Caenorhabditis elegans: one gene and its partners. The protein of the gene in region 1 purifies or fractionates together with the protein of each later gene. This does not show direct contact. Each region holds a gene or a part of one and is shown in the gene's direction. Other genes may lie near its edges.

Evidence for each region. The genes of interacting proteins can lie anywhere in the genome.
Region 2: the proteins of nhr-222 (region 1) and T23G5.2 fractionate together in Caenorhabditis elegans (co-fractionation; one large-scale study listed by BioGRID). This does not show direct contact.
Region 3: the proteins of nhr-222 (region 1) and his-74 fractionate together in Caenorhabditis elegans (co-fractionation; one large-scale study listed by BioGRID). This does not show direct contact.

The regions. Positions count from the first base shown.
Region 1 is NC_003283.11:3,541,074-3,545,329, reverse strand, and holds nhr-222 (Nuclear Hormone Receptor family), read left to right. Parts: upstream 1-1,885; coding exon 1,886-1,960; intron 1,961-2,072; coding exon 2,073-2,166; intron 2,167-2,407; coding exon 2,408-2,661; intron 2,662-2,932; coding exon 2,933-3,043; intron 3,044-3,086; coding exon 3,087-3,214; intron 3,215-3,258; coding exon 3,259-3,383; intron 3,384-3,443; coding exon 3,444-3,688; 3' UTR 3,689-3,744; downstream 3,745-4,256.
Region 2 is NC_003281.10:9,230,921-9,237,873, reverse strand, and holds T23G5.2 (CRAL-TRIO domain-containing protein T23G5.2), read left to right. Parts: upstream 1-1,551; 5' UTR 1,552-1,558; coding exon 1,559-1,621; intron 1,622-1,672; coding exon 1,673-1,954; intron 1,955-2,377; coding exon 2,378-2,609; intron 2,610-2,713; coding exon 2,714-2,839; coding exon of another isoform or gene 2,840-2,850; exon of another isoform or gene 2,851-3,144; intron 3,145-3,558; coding exon 3,559-3,668; intron 3,669-4,291; coding exon 4,292-4,852; intron 4,853-4,900; coding exon 4,901-5,239; intron 5,240-5,292; coding exon 5,293-5,493; intron 5,494-5,541; coding exon 5,542-5,690; intron 5,691-6,039; coding exon 6,040-6,136; 3' UTR 6,137-6,453; downstream 6,454-6,953. Other genes in the region: T23G5.3 (uncharacterized protein), read left to right, coding at 6,664-6,798.
Region 3 is NC_003283.11:12,659,204-12,662,061, reverse strand, and holds his-74 (Histone H3.3-like type 2), read left to right. Parts: upstream 1-1,731; 5' UTR 1,732-1,735; coding exon 1,736-2,017; intron 2,018-2,064; coding exon 2,065-2,193; 3' UTR 2,194-2,358; downstream 2,359-2,858. Other genes in the region: W05B10.3 (Saposin B-type domain-containing protein), read left to right, coding at 415-558, 615-758; ccch-3 (C3H1-type domain-containing protein), read left to right, coding at 2,581-2,700, 2,747-2,858. UniProt on the Caenorhabditis elegans protein: Putative variant histone H3 which may replace conventional H3 in a subset of nucleosomes. Nucleosomes wrap and compact DNA into chromatin, limiting DNA accessibility to the cellular machineries which require DNA as a template.

The DNA.
Region 1 (4,256 bases):
TGGCCTGTACAATTAAGCTATTAGACAACTGCGTGAAAGGTATCTGCTGAACGGAAATTAACTAATATATTATTTACACAAAAGTTGAGTATTATTATCTTTTTGTCCCTAACAATAACATTATGTTTCCTATTTTCACAGTCATAACCAGTTACGTAACAGTCTATGAAATCGTGAGAAAAGCTAGATAATTGAATATTTTAAGATGTTATACTTTTTTTTTATTTTCAGTTTTCACAGACAATACTAATAAACAAAGTCTACGAGAGTCTCTAAAATCGTGAGAAAAAACTAGACATATTTGTTTCAATACTTGAGAACTGGACTTTTAGCTCTTGCTAGTACAAAAAATCAGTATTAATGTCAGTTATTATTATCATTAACTCTATGATAAATATTCTAGTTTGTTACTCAAATATATGCTTCAATTTGATCCTTTTATTAGCAATTTTTTGCCTCAAAAAAATCACTTTTAAATCAGAATTATCCCTTTTTTATACAAGATTTGTTGTAGATATTGGATACAGTTTTTCAAGTAAGTTACCGAAAATCTACCGAATTAATTTTTGGTTCAGTTAGTATATTCAAAATGTATATATTGGCGATTATAGCCTCAAACATATTTGCCGTCAAAAATTTTATATTTTTCTCAATGTGGTCTAATATTATGTTTGGAACTATTCGTACAAGTCTCTTATTTTTAACTTCTTTGGATTGTTTTCCATTTACATTTTTATTTTTTTCCTGATATTATTTGATCAATTTATCATGTTTGGATACTGTGAGAATACTATTGATACTCCCATTGATTGCGACAATTTTCTTTGCTCTTTTAATGAGTGCTACATTATGTATTGGGTGAAAAATGAACAAATTGTGTTCAGTATGATTGTAGCTTTGACTATATTGCTATCAGTGAAGCTTGTAGTTTACACTGTCCTCGCACAAAATCAATCGGCTCAAGTTTATTCAAGAGTAGGTTGACTTTAATAGAAAATTAACGTAAAATTATGTATAATAATTCCAGGCTACCCAAATAGCTATGTTCGACTCGACGACTCTTATTTTATTTAATCTTATACCTGTTCTGTCTACTTTTTGGTTTGAATCTGTTGATTATCAAACATTTTCGTCAATCACTACTCTCACCAGAAATCTTGGATTTTTAATCAATACATTGATCATTTTTCGAATTTTCATGAGAGATGTAAATATTGTAGCGCCACCATTAACATATCCCAATTTGTAACGAGCTGTTTTTTTTTTAAATAAAATGATAAAATACTTGAACATTTGTTTTTAGTATACATTTAAACACAATTTGCTTGAAAATTTGGAGTATAAATTGAGTAAATTTGGAGTGTTCTTGGGTTGTACAATTAAGCTTCTAGGCAACTTGTAAGATATCTGCTGAACGGAAATTAGCTAATGTATTATTTACACAAAAGTTTAGTTTTATTTTTTCTTTTTGTCTCGAAACTAAAAAAAAAAACTTTAAAACATATTTAATTATGATATTCAGTCATTTCAGCATCATATAAATGGGGTTTAATCATGGCCCCATTGCTCGTGGTCCACATCTAAATAAAGAGAAAAAAAAATGCCAAAAGCCCATAAAAATGGTCAAGAAATCAAAAGTTCAAAGGTTTCTGTTTTTTTTTCAAAGTTTAGACATTTGATTTCACAACTTTCATTTTCAACCTACTAGAAAACAACACAACTCATTGTCAGCTGCAGTTTTCGACCAAAATCTAAAAGTGCATAGAATATGTTCCCATAACATCACATTCGAGTCAGAACCGCATACCCCGCCCAAGATTTCTAATCTTACAATTTTTCTGTTTTCTATCTCATTTGTGAGCAAATAGAGCCACGCGGATTTAAAATGCGGTGCAGCCTAACTTCTCCTTCAAAACAATGCTCTATATGTCAACGCCCAGCTTTTGGACAAAATTATGGCGTAAGTTTAGAAGGTTTAATGGAAAATATTGAAAAGAAAATTTAATTGAAAAAAAAACGATAATAAATTGTTGAATAAAATATTCCTAATTTTTTTGCCAAATAAGTTTCAGAGTTTCTCATGTGACGCGTGTAAAATGTTTTTCCGTCGATGTATCATGCTTGACCTACAATTTGAATGTATTTATCAAAAACGGTGCTTTGACAGTGAGTTCAACCTTGGAATAAAGTATTTTGGAAATATTTTGGAATAAGTTAATGGGGAAATTACTGAAAAATGTTGTACAAATAAAACTGGGTGCATCATTGAAAAATCGATAAGAAATTGCTCATTTAATTTGAAAAATTTTTTTTTTTCAAATTCCGAACAGTCCAGTACTTGAAAAATGCCATAACGAAGTCCAAGTCATTTTGAATTTTCAAAAAAAACCAGAAATTTTTTTTTCAGAATTCACAGAGCATCGCCGTGTGCCCCGTTGCAAAGCCTGTCGATTTCAAAAATGTCTGGACACTGGAATGTTCATAAGACCATCCACTCTTCCAAAAATCGAGTCTCATTCCGAACATGCTTTGGTGGCAATTTTGAGCCAACTCTCGTACCTGAATGCTCGGAGAATGACAGTTTTGCTGAACAAATTTTCGTTTGAAAATCCAAAATTGCAAGATGTGGCGAGGAGAAAAAAGTTGACAATTGTTGACCAAGTAAGTCAAAGTTTAAAATTTTTAATATTTAATCTGCACCTTATCAAATGTTTCACAACTTCACAAATGTTTCAAAAAGTTTCGTATACATTTCAAGAATTTATCTCTGTTTTTTGTAAACTTCCAGAAATTTTCAGAGGTTTCTCAAAAATTCCAGAAATATCCAGAAAGTTTTAAAATGTCTTATATAACTCCCCTTATCGGAACTCTCAATATTTTCCAGAACTCTCCAGAAGTTACACGAGTTTCTAGTACCTCTACAGTTTTTCAGAGTTCCGCCTATGATATGTCGGACGCTGATTGGAGGTTTTTCACGATGTACACAACGATAGAATTCCTGCTCAACTTGGATTTCATGGAAAAATTGGAGCATTCGGATAAGGTTACACGATAAGTAGGCCAGAATCTTCAAGCTTTTTACTCAGATGGTTCTGCTGCAAAATTTCTCTGCAAAAGCCACACTGCTATTCAACTCACTGAGAACTGTACGCGGGAATAATGACCGTTTGACCACTCCAGGAGGCCATGAAATAGTACCAGATCTTATGAGCACGTAAGTAAAACGAAAAAGTATCCTAGGAGATCAAATAATTTCAGACTGTTCAACGTGTCGCTGAGCTTTATTCGCCAAATACGCAGCCGAGTAGTTAGCAAGCTCATAGAGCTCGAGATCACCGATGAGGAGTTCCTCCTGGTTACGGTTATACTTTTTTGCGACCCAGGTAGGTATAAAAAACGAGAAGCTCGGAGAATTACCGTATAATCCAACACTAAACTTTCAGCCATATCCGGGCTATCATCACATGCTATATCGATCCTAACCCCCTTAAGAATATGCTACACATCTTGCCTCTTTCAACATTGCCAAATAACTTGCCAAAAAAACTTCCCAACCAAATTTGTGGATCTCCTCTCGCTAAGTCATGTTGTGAACAAGAACATTGAAGATATTCAAAGCCTGACAGTAATTGTAAAATTTTATTTGAAAACTTCAGAGTGTAAAAAACTATTCACAGATATTATATGAATTTTTTTACATTTAATGGTTCCATCCATGAAAATTTAAGTGATGAAGTGTGTACTTTGAGACATTTTACAGTGAAACTATCATCTCAATTATATAAGTGAAATTATCATCTCAAATTTCTGGACATTCTCAACATTTTGCCACAGAGTTCCCTCGCACTTCTACAGTCTCGCCTCGCATTTGGCCAGAGTTCATGAGTTCAGATCTTTCTGTGGAAGTGCGAGGGAACTCTTTAACAAAATTCCGAGTTTTCATTTGGCAGCAGCTGCTCTGCAACAGACAAATGGGCGGCGTCGATAATTAACTTTTCATTTTTTATCGGGCTGCATAAACGGAATTATATTATTAAGTTGACATAACATAATTTTCCATTTGCAAGACCTTGATTTCCTTGAACTCTCAGCCCATTTCAGACGAGATCATTTTCAAATTGGTGATAAGTTACAACGACCTTAAGCCCCTTCCGTTCAGAGGCTCCAGCAGACTACAGTTTATTTAAGCAATTGAATATTTTTGCTAGAAAACAAAATTGCTCTATTCAATATATTTTGATATTTTGATTAATATT
Region 2 (6,953 bases), on another chromosome or scaffold:
TCATTTGAAACAATCTAACAGACTTTTCAAGCCAAAACAGTCGTATTCTATTTATCAGTAACGTTGGTCACTCTCTGATAGAAATAGACTGATGGGTTGTATTGAATTTGAAACTGATAAGCTAGTTGAAAGATCATTTATTCTCTCTTGGATTGTTGTATTACGCTCCAAGCAGAGTTTTGATTCAATTTTCTTTTTGGATTTTCTATTTTCAATAAATGTGTCATATTGTTGACGCTATTGTATTGTTCCGATTAGAGAATATACGTTTTGAATCATATTTTCCTTGTTTTTTCTTTGTCGCTTTAACTTTATTATGTCCTTATCAATATTTACATTTTTTTAGCGGTCACCTCACTGCAACTTTTTCCTCACGAGGGACGAGGAAAAGTGGTTTCTAGGTCATGGCCGAGGGGCCGACAAGTTTCAGCGGCCATTATCTTGCTTTGTTTTCCGCCTGTTTTCTTTTGTTTTTCATCGATTTTTTTCATTTTTTCTTAATAAAACTGATAAATAAATATTTTTTGCAGATGCTAAAACAATTTCCAAGTAAAAAAATCATGTATTCAGTGGGCAAGCAGCGGTGAAAGTGGGCATTGTAATATGATGGATTACGGGAATACAAAACCTAAACTTTTTCTGAAACATGATACATATGCTGCTTAAATGCTGAGACTACCTGATTCATAAACGAGACCGCTGAAAAAGTTTTGAGGTTTCCGAAATTCAACTTTTTTGGTGAAAAAGTCGAGATTTTCGCACAAAAAGTTGAATTTTGAAAACCTCAAAACTTTTTCAGCGGTCTCGTTATGAAAATCAGCATCTAAGCATCGTATGTATCATGTTTCAGAAAAAGTTTAGGTTTTGTATTCCCGTAATCCATCATATTGCATTGACCACTTTCACCGCTGCTTGCCCACTGAATACATAATTTTTTTACTTGGAAATTGTTTTAGCATCTGCAAAAAGTATTTATTTATCAGTTTTAATAAGAAAAAACCGGGAAAAAGCTGTGAAAAACAAAAGAAAACAGGCGGAAAACAAAGCAAGATAAATGGCCGCTGAAACTTGTCGGCCCCTCAGCCATGGCCTAGAAACCACTTTTCCTCGTCCCTCGTGAGGAAAAAGTTGCAGTGCACCTGAGCATAAATCAAATCCCGTTAATCACTAGGTTTCCCGTCATCTTGATTTTTTTTTTCATAAATTTTTCTTTCTTACTCCTGTTCGTGTGTTTATAAGGTGACGTGATCTTTGATATTTCTCGTTTTGTTTGGCGTCGCAAAAAAACTTCCAAACTTCCACATAACTTTTAAAGTCTCGTTTGTAACAATTAAACACAACTGTGGACTATTATAGATTTTAGTTCCTGGTTCTATTCCTCACAATGTATTTATTTTTCTTGGCAAAAACAAAAGTCCACGGAACAGTTGATATTTTTTTATTTTGACGATCCTATCTTGGCAACCTCAGCGCACTTTTTTCCATTCGTTTTTCTTTGCGCTTTCTCTGATAAAACTTAAATTTTCTCACTAATCAATAATTTTTTTTCAGTAGAAAAATGGTTCAAACGTACAGGTCACCTGTGCGTATTTACAAACATCCGTTCGAAATTGTGATGGCGGTAAGAAACATTTAAAACAAACTTTATTTGTCAAATGACGTCATTTTTCAGGCGTACGAGATGAGATTCCCGACTTGTCCACAAATCCCGATTTTCGTTGGATCAGAAGTTACGTACGAGTACAAAAGTGTTGATGGAGCAGAATGGGTGATTGATCGAAAGTGTCAGCTCAACGTCGAAGCGCCTTACCTTGTAAAGAAAATTGCCGGAGTCGACTATGTGTATTTCTCGCAGAAGAACTCACTGGATCGTAGGAAGAGAACACTTGACATTGAGGCAACAAACATTTCATTTTCAAGCAGAATTAATGTCAAAGAAAATTGTACATATTATGTAAGTTTTTAAAAATAATAAAAACTAAAAATTTCAGAAGATAAAATATAATTATCAACATATTCCAAAAATGCCAAAAAAATTTTTATATATTTTTTGTCACGATATTTTGAATTTTTAAAATTTCAGTTTCCTAACAAGATAAATTATTTTCAACGAAAACTATGAAAAGTCGATTTCATAGTAACGAGAGTTTGAAATTACAGTAATCTTTAAAGACGCACATCCATTTCGCATTTGAGGAAAAAATGTCGTGTCTAGACCGGGTACCATATTTTTGATCCAAAAATCTAAGTTTGCGTCTGGATAATTTTTTGAAACAACATATTTTCGAGAAGAAAAACATCTGAACCCCAGCAAAAATTCATGATATTCTATTAAAGCCTGTTCTTAATTTTATTTCATTAATAATTTCGTTTGCAGGTTCATGCAGAGAACGAAAATTGGACGTGTTTCGAGCAGTCAGCATCACTCGATGTGAAAAACTTCTTCGGTCTGGAATCAGCTGTTGAGAAGCTCGCGGTTCGACAGTACGGAGCAAATTTGGCCAAGGGAAAGGAAATTCTCGAGTTTTTCATTGAAGAGTTACTCAAAAAGACTACACATATCGAACGCTTTAGAGATGCGGACCAAGAGGAAACCACGTCGGCAACAGGTTGGTTGTGAATTGACTTTATAATAAATGAAAAAATAATAATTTGTACATAGAGAGTTGCCGTTCAAGTGCTGTGCCTACTGATATTATTACACACATTTCAGATTCGGCAATCGAAATGAAAGAGTTATCAGATGGTGATGCAGTTCTTGTTAACGATAGACCACCGATGTTGGCTGCAGAGACGGATGAAATGAGGACTGCTCGTGCAACTGCCAGTTTTGACGACGGTGCGTTGTGATTTTGGTTCGACACTTGCTGATCCCTTTATTCATGTTGCCGATGTTCTAGGCACCAAATACATATTTTTATCATGTTTTAGCCTGCTTTTTTGAATGGTGTTCTGCTTCTGTGATGTTATTTCATATCTTTTAGCTCCTCCTAAATACAACAAAATTCAAATTGGCAGCATGCCGTGTTTGCATGATTATTTATTGTCGAATATTTATTATTATTAGTAGTTATTTTTTTAATTTTCCTGGTGAGTGTCGTGCCCTTCACAGTTTCAATAAAGAAAATTCAAAACAAAAAAAAATTAAGTTCAAAGAACGGGCCTGTCGAAACAGTAAATCAGAAGTGCACCACCTCCTCCACCATGCGCGGATATATCTTGTACTCTCGCGGCGCCACTTCAGACTGTTTGGTCTTTTGACTGCTGCGTCTACAAGCTTCTCGCCGTATCTCACCCAGGTGCAGCTCTTCGGCGATCTCCTTGAAGCGCGATCTATCGATTCACTAGGAACCGATCTCATCCCCTCAATCTCCCCTAACAGCTACCTTTGCAACGTTTTGTTTCCAACTTCTATCTAGAGATACACATATGCCTATATGCTTTCACGAAAATATGATAAAAGTGGAAAACGCAGAAAATCTGTTAAATTTGTAATTGGTTAGTATTAGATATTGTGCTGAAGATCCGTGATTTTTAAAATACGAAACTTTTTTTCAGCCGATTCCAAACTTGAAGCCGAGTACATAAGAAGGTTCCTTGGACAATTGAGCCCACTGGAAGAATCGCGTCTTTGTGAGATCAAGTACAGTCTTCAAGCACATCATAAGGTAATATACGATAAAATATTTTTAGAAATCTCATTTTTACTGGAAATTTGCGATTTTTGCACTAAAAATACGGTACTCGGTCTTGACACGATAAAATTGTGTTGAATGCAAAAGGATGCGCTCCTTTAAAGAGTACTGTAGTTCCCAAGTATCTTTCGTTGTGGATATTCATTGTTTGTTCAACCCACTTTTAAGTGAAAATAAAATAAGAAGAAAATCGTATAAACACATATTTGTCGTATCCAGACCGAGTACCGCTATTTTTGAGTAATAAAAAATTCCAATATTTCGCTTCATTGCAAATATGAAGTTTTTTGCGATATCTTACGCGCATGGGTCTCGCCACGCGAACCTCAGGTTACTGTAACTCTTGTTCATTTACCAGCCTCTATTGTAATTAATTTGAAAAATCTTAGCAGCAATTTCTCATTAAATTGAAAAATATCATTTCTGTGAATCGACACGAGTTACAGTGAATAACATATTTCGGGATTAAATTGCATTAGGGTCAATTTTGAAAATAAAAAAAATTTTGGGTATCGACGTGAACCTAACCCATGTATGTACATAACAAAAAAGAACAAAATAGATTGAACTTGAAATTAAATTATTTCGTTTTCCAGGGAAAACTACCGAACGATGCTCACTTGCTCCGCTTCCTCCGAGCCCGAGATTTCGATGTGGCGAAAGCGAAAGATATGGTCCACGCGAGTATCATATGGCGGAAACAACACAATGTTGATAAGATTCTCGAAGAGTGGACTCGGCCGACTGTGATCAAGCAGTACTTCCCAGGATGTTGGCATAACTCGGACAAAGCTGGAAGGCCAATGTACATTCTGAGATTCGGGCAACTTGATACGAAAGGAATGCTTCGTAGTTGTGGCGTCGAGAATCTGGTCAAGTTGACTCTTTCGATTTGTGAAGATGGTCTGCAACGAGCAGCCGAAGCAACCAGAAAACTCGGAACACCAATAAGTTCATGGAGTCTTGTCGTTGATTTGGATGGTCTATCGATGCGTCATTTGTGGAGGCCTGGAGTTCAATGTCTTCTGAAGATTATTGAAATTGTTGAAGCAAACTACCCGGAGACAATGGGACAGGTTCTAGTTGTTCGTGCACCTAGAGTATTTCCAGTACTTTGGACTCTAATTTCACCATTTATTGATGAGAAAACAAGAAAGGTAAGGTGGAACCGTCTAGAATAAAACTAATAATTATTTTATATTCAGAAGTTTATGGTCAGTGGTGGAAGCGGAGGTGATTTGAAAGAAGAACTCCGAAAACATATTGAAGAAAAGTTCATTCCTGACTTTTTGGGTGGATCCTGCCTCACAACAAATTGTGGACTTGGTGGACACGTTCCAAAATCGATGTACCTTCCAGTTGAAGAGCAAGAAGGTGCCAGCTCATCTGAAGATCCTCTTCATTCCACCTACACAAGTACTGCAACCTGGAGAGGATACCCAGTGGAAGTTGTCATTCCTATTGAGACAGCTGGCTGCGTGCTTACATGGGATTTCGATGTGCTTAAGAATGATTGTGAATTCAGTCTGTACTTTTCGACTGAGGTAAATCTACATTATTTATCATTCTCAATAATTAAACGTTTAAATTTTTCTAGAAAATCGAGCAACCAGCAGTCCGTGATGGAGCTCAATCACCAACAACCATTCTCAATCCAGTTGAGATGGTATCTGCAGCAATCGGAGGAGCATCTCATCAACATCCCGATCTTCAGTGTGCTCCTGAACTTAAAATTGGAACACCACAGCTACGTCTAGAGGAAAAGGCAGTTGTATTCCAGGAAGGAGATTCTATGCAGGTACTCTTAAAAAATATAAAAAATACATTTAAAAATGGTATTTTTTAGGGTTCCCACTATTGCTCACGAGCTGGTACATATATCATGCAATGGAGAGTCCCTGAAACTGCAGCCGGCCACTCATCAACCTTTGACTTTGGTTCTCACAAATGTCGTCTCATCTACTATTACGAGATTTTAAACTCTGAAAATTTCCGGTAAATTCTTTACACATTTATTACAGTTGATATTATGGAGACTCGAAATTTTGCGATTTTTGCGCTTAGAATACGGTAGCCGGTCTCGACACGACAATTTTGTTAAATACAAACGGGCGCGCCTTTAAATAGTACTGTATCTTGAAACTTTCGTTTCGGCGGAATTTAAGCAAAGAAAGTTTGAAATTACAGTACTCTTTCAAAGCGCACATTCTTTTTTATTTAGCAAAACACTTTCGCGTCGAGACCGGGCACCATATTCTAGGCACACAAATTCGCAAAATTTTTGCGTCTACATAAAACGTAAACTATCCATTACAGTAGCCTTATTAATGCAATTTGTTTTCAGAGGATCCGTTGCCTCCCTCGAATCTTGCCGTTCATCATCGTTCAGTTCAATTGCTCCACCAACGCCACCAACTCCAGGAACTCCCCGCAATCCATAAACATCATTTGTAAAATTCAAAATTTTATCCGACCCTACTCGTATTCTTGTGATTCGTTTTCCTTTCTTCTGTACTACTTCCCATTCTGTCTCTTCTTTTCTTCTGCTTTCAAACATGCAAACACCAAATTCCTTATTATTTCCTTTTTCTTCGTCTACAGTCCCAAACACGGTTTTTCTCATTGTCTCCATTTCTATCATATTCCTTCATTTTACTACTTTTTTGATGTAATTTATTATTAATTTCGAACTTTTCCTCTCTTAGTTCACTCTTCATCCATCAAATGCCGAGCAATTGAGTATAAAGAAGTTTTGTACAAGCCAAAACGAGTGAGGCAAAGGCAAAAGAACAATGATTTTCACACCCCAACACAAACATAATCTACACTCCAATATTATATATTGGACAAATAGCGCCCACTCCAAGAATGGAAATTGAGCTGGTATTATTTGTTAGTCGCTTTCGGTAGAATACCTCTACCACTTTTTGAATTCGCGCGCACCTTTTAAGTGGTTAATTTCTCTCTAATGCCACCTCCACCATTAATATCGCTTGATGTTGAAGGTGTATATTTTAAGACAAGGATAGCTACTTTGAAATCTATAGAAGGAACTTATTTTACTAAATTATTCGAAACTAATTGGAGGGAGCAGCTTGATAGAGTAAGTCTAAAAAAAAAGTTGTAACTTACAAAGTTTAAAGCATTTGGTAAATTGCCAAACTTCTTAGAATTTTAGAGCATTGCTGCAGGTCCCTAACCTCCTAGAATGTCCAAACACAAATGATTATTGCCATGTTGTTGAATTTTGTGATTACT
Region 3 (2,858 bases), 9.1 Mb from region 1:
AGATGTTTTGACCAACTCACGTCATAACAATTAGCTACAGTATCCTGGCTCGAAATGTTGTGAGCTCGTAATATCCGGCTTTTTTTTCTCACCTTTAGTACTTCAATGTGTTTTCCATAATGACTTAACCTCCAGATGTGTTGGTCATTTAGTATATTTCCTTTTGTCATTGCACAAACGAATCGTATAAATCAAATTTTATAATTTTACACAGAAATTGATAAGTTAGTTTATATTTTAATTTTGCTACACTTTCCAAGCAATATAGTTTTTCTATTGATACCTCGACAAAAGAAATTGAAGAATTTGTTAATACTATGAGAAAAATGTATTATTCTCATGAAACTGTTGAGAACCTACATTTCCTATATTATACATTCCAAATTCTATTTTCTCTTATTTCTCTGCTTCACTATGAAGCTCAACCTGTTTTTTGTTATTTGTATCTTTACTGTCTCAAAAACTACTGCTCAATTCGAGAATATAAAACCTTGTGTGATTTGCGATGATCATTGGTTTATTGTCCCAACCAGTTGGTTAAATATGTCTAAGTATTTGGTAAGAAGAACTCTTTGAAACTGCATTCTGTGTAAATAACCTCTACAAATTTTCAGCGAGGAGGTTGCAATCGTCTCCCGAAAGCTTTAATTTGGCCGTGTCGAGACCTCGTTGACTCAATGAATCTTTGGGATCAATACTCGACTCTTTATCCACATATTGTTGAGTTTCACAAGCAGGCATGCAAAATGTTATGCTGAGAAAAATTTTGAAAATTAATATAAATTTTATGATGATTGATTTTACACATATTCGTTCCATGTCAAGCACCGTCTCGAAATCAGGGAATATTACCCAGTTGCGAGAGAATACGATGTCCGGTCTCGCCACGAATGAAAAAAATCGGTCCACTTAGAGAAGTACAGTAACCAATATTTTAAAAACCTTCTCAGAGCTTCCACGGCCTTCTGGTGCCATATCCTTCTATTAACTATTGAAATGGTGTTTTAATTTGCAACTTTATTGTAAAAACTAACGATTGTTACAGCCAAATTAATAAAAATGAATTCGATCCAAGCTATAAATCTCTCTTCTTTGAAAAAAATCGAGCCGAATAAAACGAAACTATGAAATGAGTGTTGTCTGCGAACAGAGAATGATATTTTAGATATTTCCCCCCAAACTTCGAATTAAAAGATTTTGCCATATTTTGAGCAAGTGATCAAAATCAGAAGATCAAAAAATAAGAGCAAAATTCAAAAATGCATTTATTTTTGACCTGACAAGGAAGATAATTTTAAAAAAGTATTAAATATTTAAGGCAATTTTAGTTATTTTTAAAAGTAATATTTTCACATAAGGTATTTTTTCAATTGTTTGTAAAGCATTTTGAAAGAAAACCGCATTTGATATACCACGAAAAGAATGGCCGGGTCCCGACACGAGCGACACACACAGAACACCACTGCTACCGTAACCCTCTTCAATCTTAATCGCGCATTTTGTTATTATTTTTGTTTTGGGGATTGTTTTTCTATTGAAATTTAGTAATTTTTAAAGTTTTTTTCAAATTAATTTTATTTTAAAAATTGTGATCTTCCAATGCTGTCAATTTTGTGCGTTAACACTTGAAAAGGATCCTCTTCCGTTGAATTTATCATAATTTTTCTTCATAATTTCACATCTGACAATTTATCAATGTTGTTTCTTTCTTTTAATGTTAAATATTTCCAGAACTATGGCTCGTACCAAGCAAACCGCTCGCAAATCGACTGGAGGAAAAGCTCCCAGAAAAGCTCTGGCGACGAAGGCGGCTCGCAAGTCGGCCATTGTCACCGGAAGTGTCAAAAAAGTGCATCGTTTTCGTCCGGGAACAGTCGCTCTTCGTGAGATCAGACGCTATCAAAAGTCTACAGAGCTTCTGCTTCGCAAGCTACCATTCCAGCGTCTTGTCCGTGAAATCGCGCAAGACTTCAAAACCGATCTCCGTTTCCAGTCAGCTGCTATCGGAGCTCTTCAGGTAACGATTTTGAAATCCAAAACGTAGTTTAAAAAATAATTTTCCAGGAAGCTTCCGAAGCTTACCTCGTTGGACTCTTCGAAGACACCAACCTGTGCGCCATCCACGCCAAAAGAGTCACTATCATGCCAAAGGATATGCAACTCGCCAGACGCATCCGTGGAGAGCGCAGCTAGATCCCTGTTTTATTACTGCCCGAATAATTATTTTATCTTTACCGCTTTGTATTAATATTATGCCTCTTGATGAAATTCCGCAACGTCCTTCTCATCACACCTGCACATTTCTCATCCCTGTTTTCTATCGATTTAATGTATCGAATAAACCCTGCGTTCCTTTTTTGTTGCAAAATTTATTGTATTGCAATATATTGGTTACTAGTTCGCCAACGGATTCTTTTTAAGAGTGTATCACGAGTGGAGGCGCAGGCAGACACGATAAGTGCGTCAGTAGTGGTTCATTCCAATTTAAAAAAGAGTGGATTTACGTTAGAAGAGTCATATTAATTTTCCGGTGATAATTCAATTTTCTTTCTATTTAAAAATTCATTTTCAGAGTCTGACATGACATCGCTCGTGGCTTACGGATCTGACAGCGAAGGAGAAGACGATGATTTCTTTGGAAAACCGACAACAGAAAAAGAAGAAACGACGAAAAACGCGGAGAAAGAAAAAGAAGAAGAGGTTAGTTCTATCTATTAAAAATTCCGCGATCAATTCTCATTTTCAGAGCGAAAAAATAGCGGAATCTGATGAAAAGCCAACAATCTCTTCATTTTTCTTCAGTGGTGACGATGATAAAGCAGGATCAAGTGATTCGGATGATTCTGAAGGCGAATCAG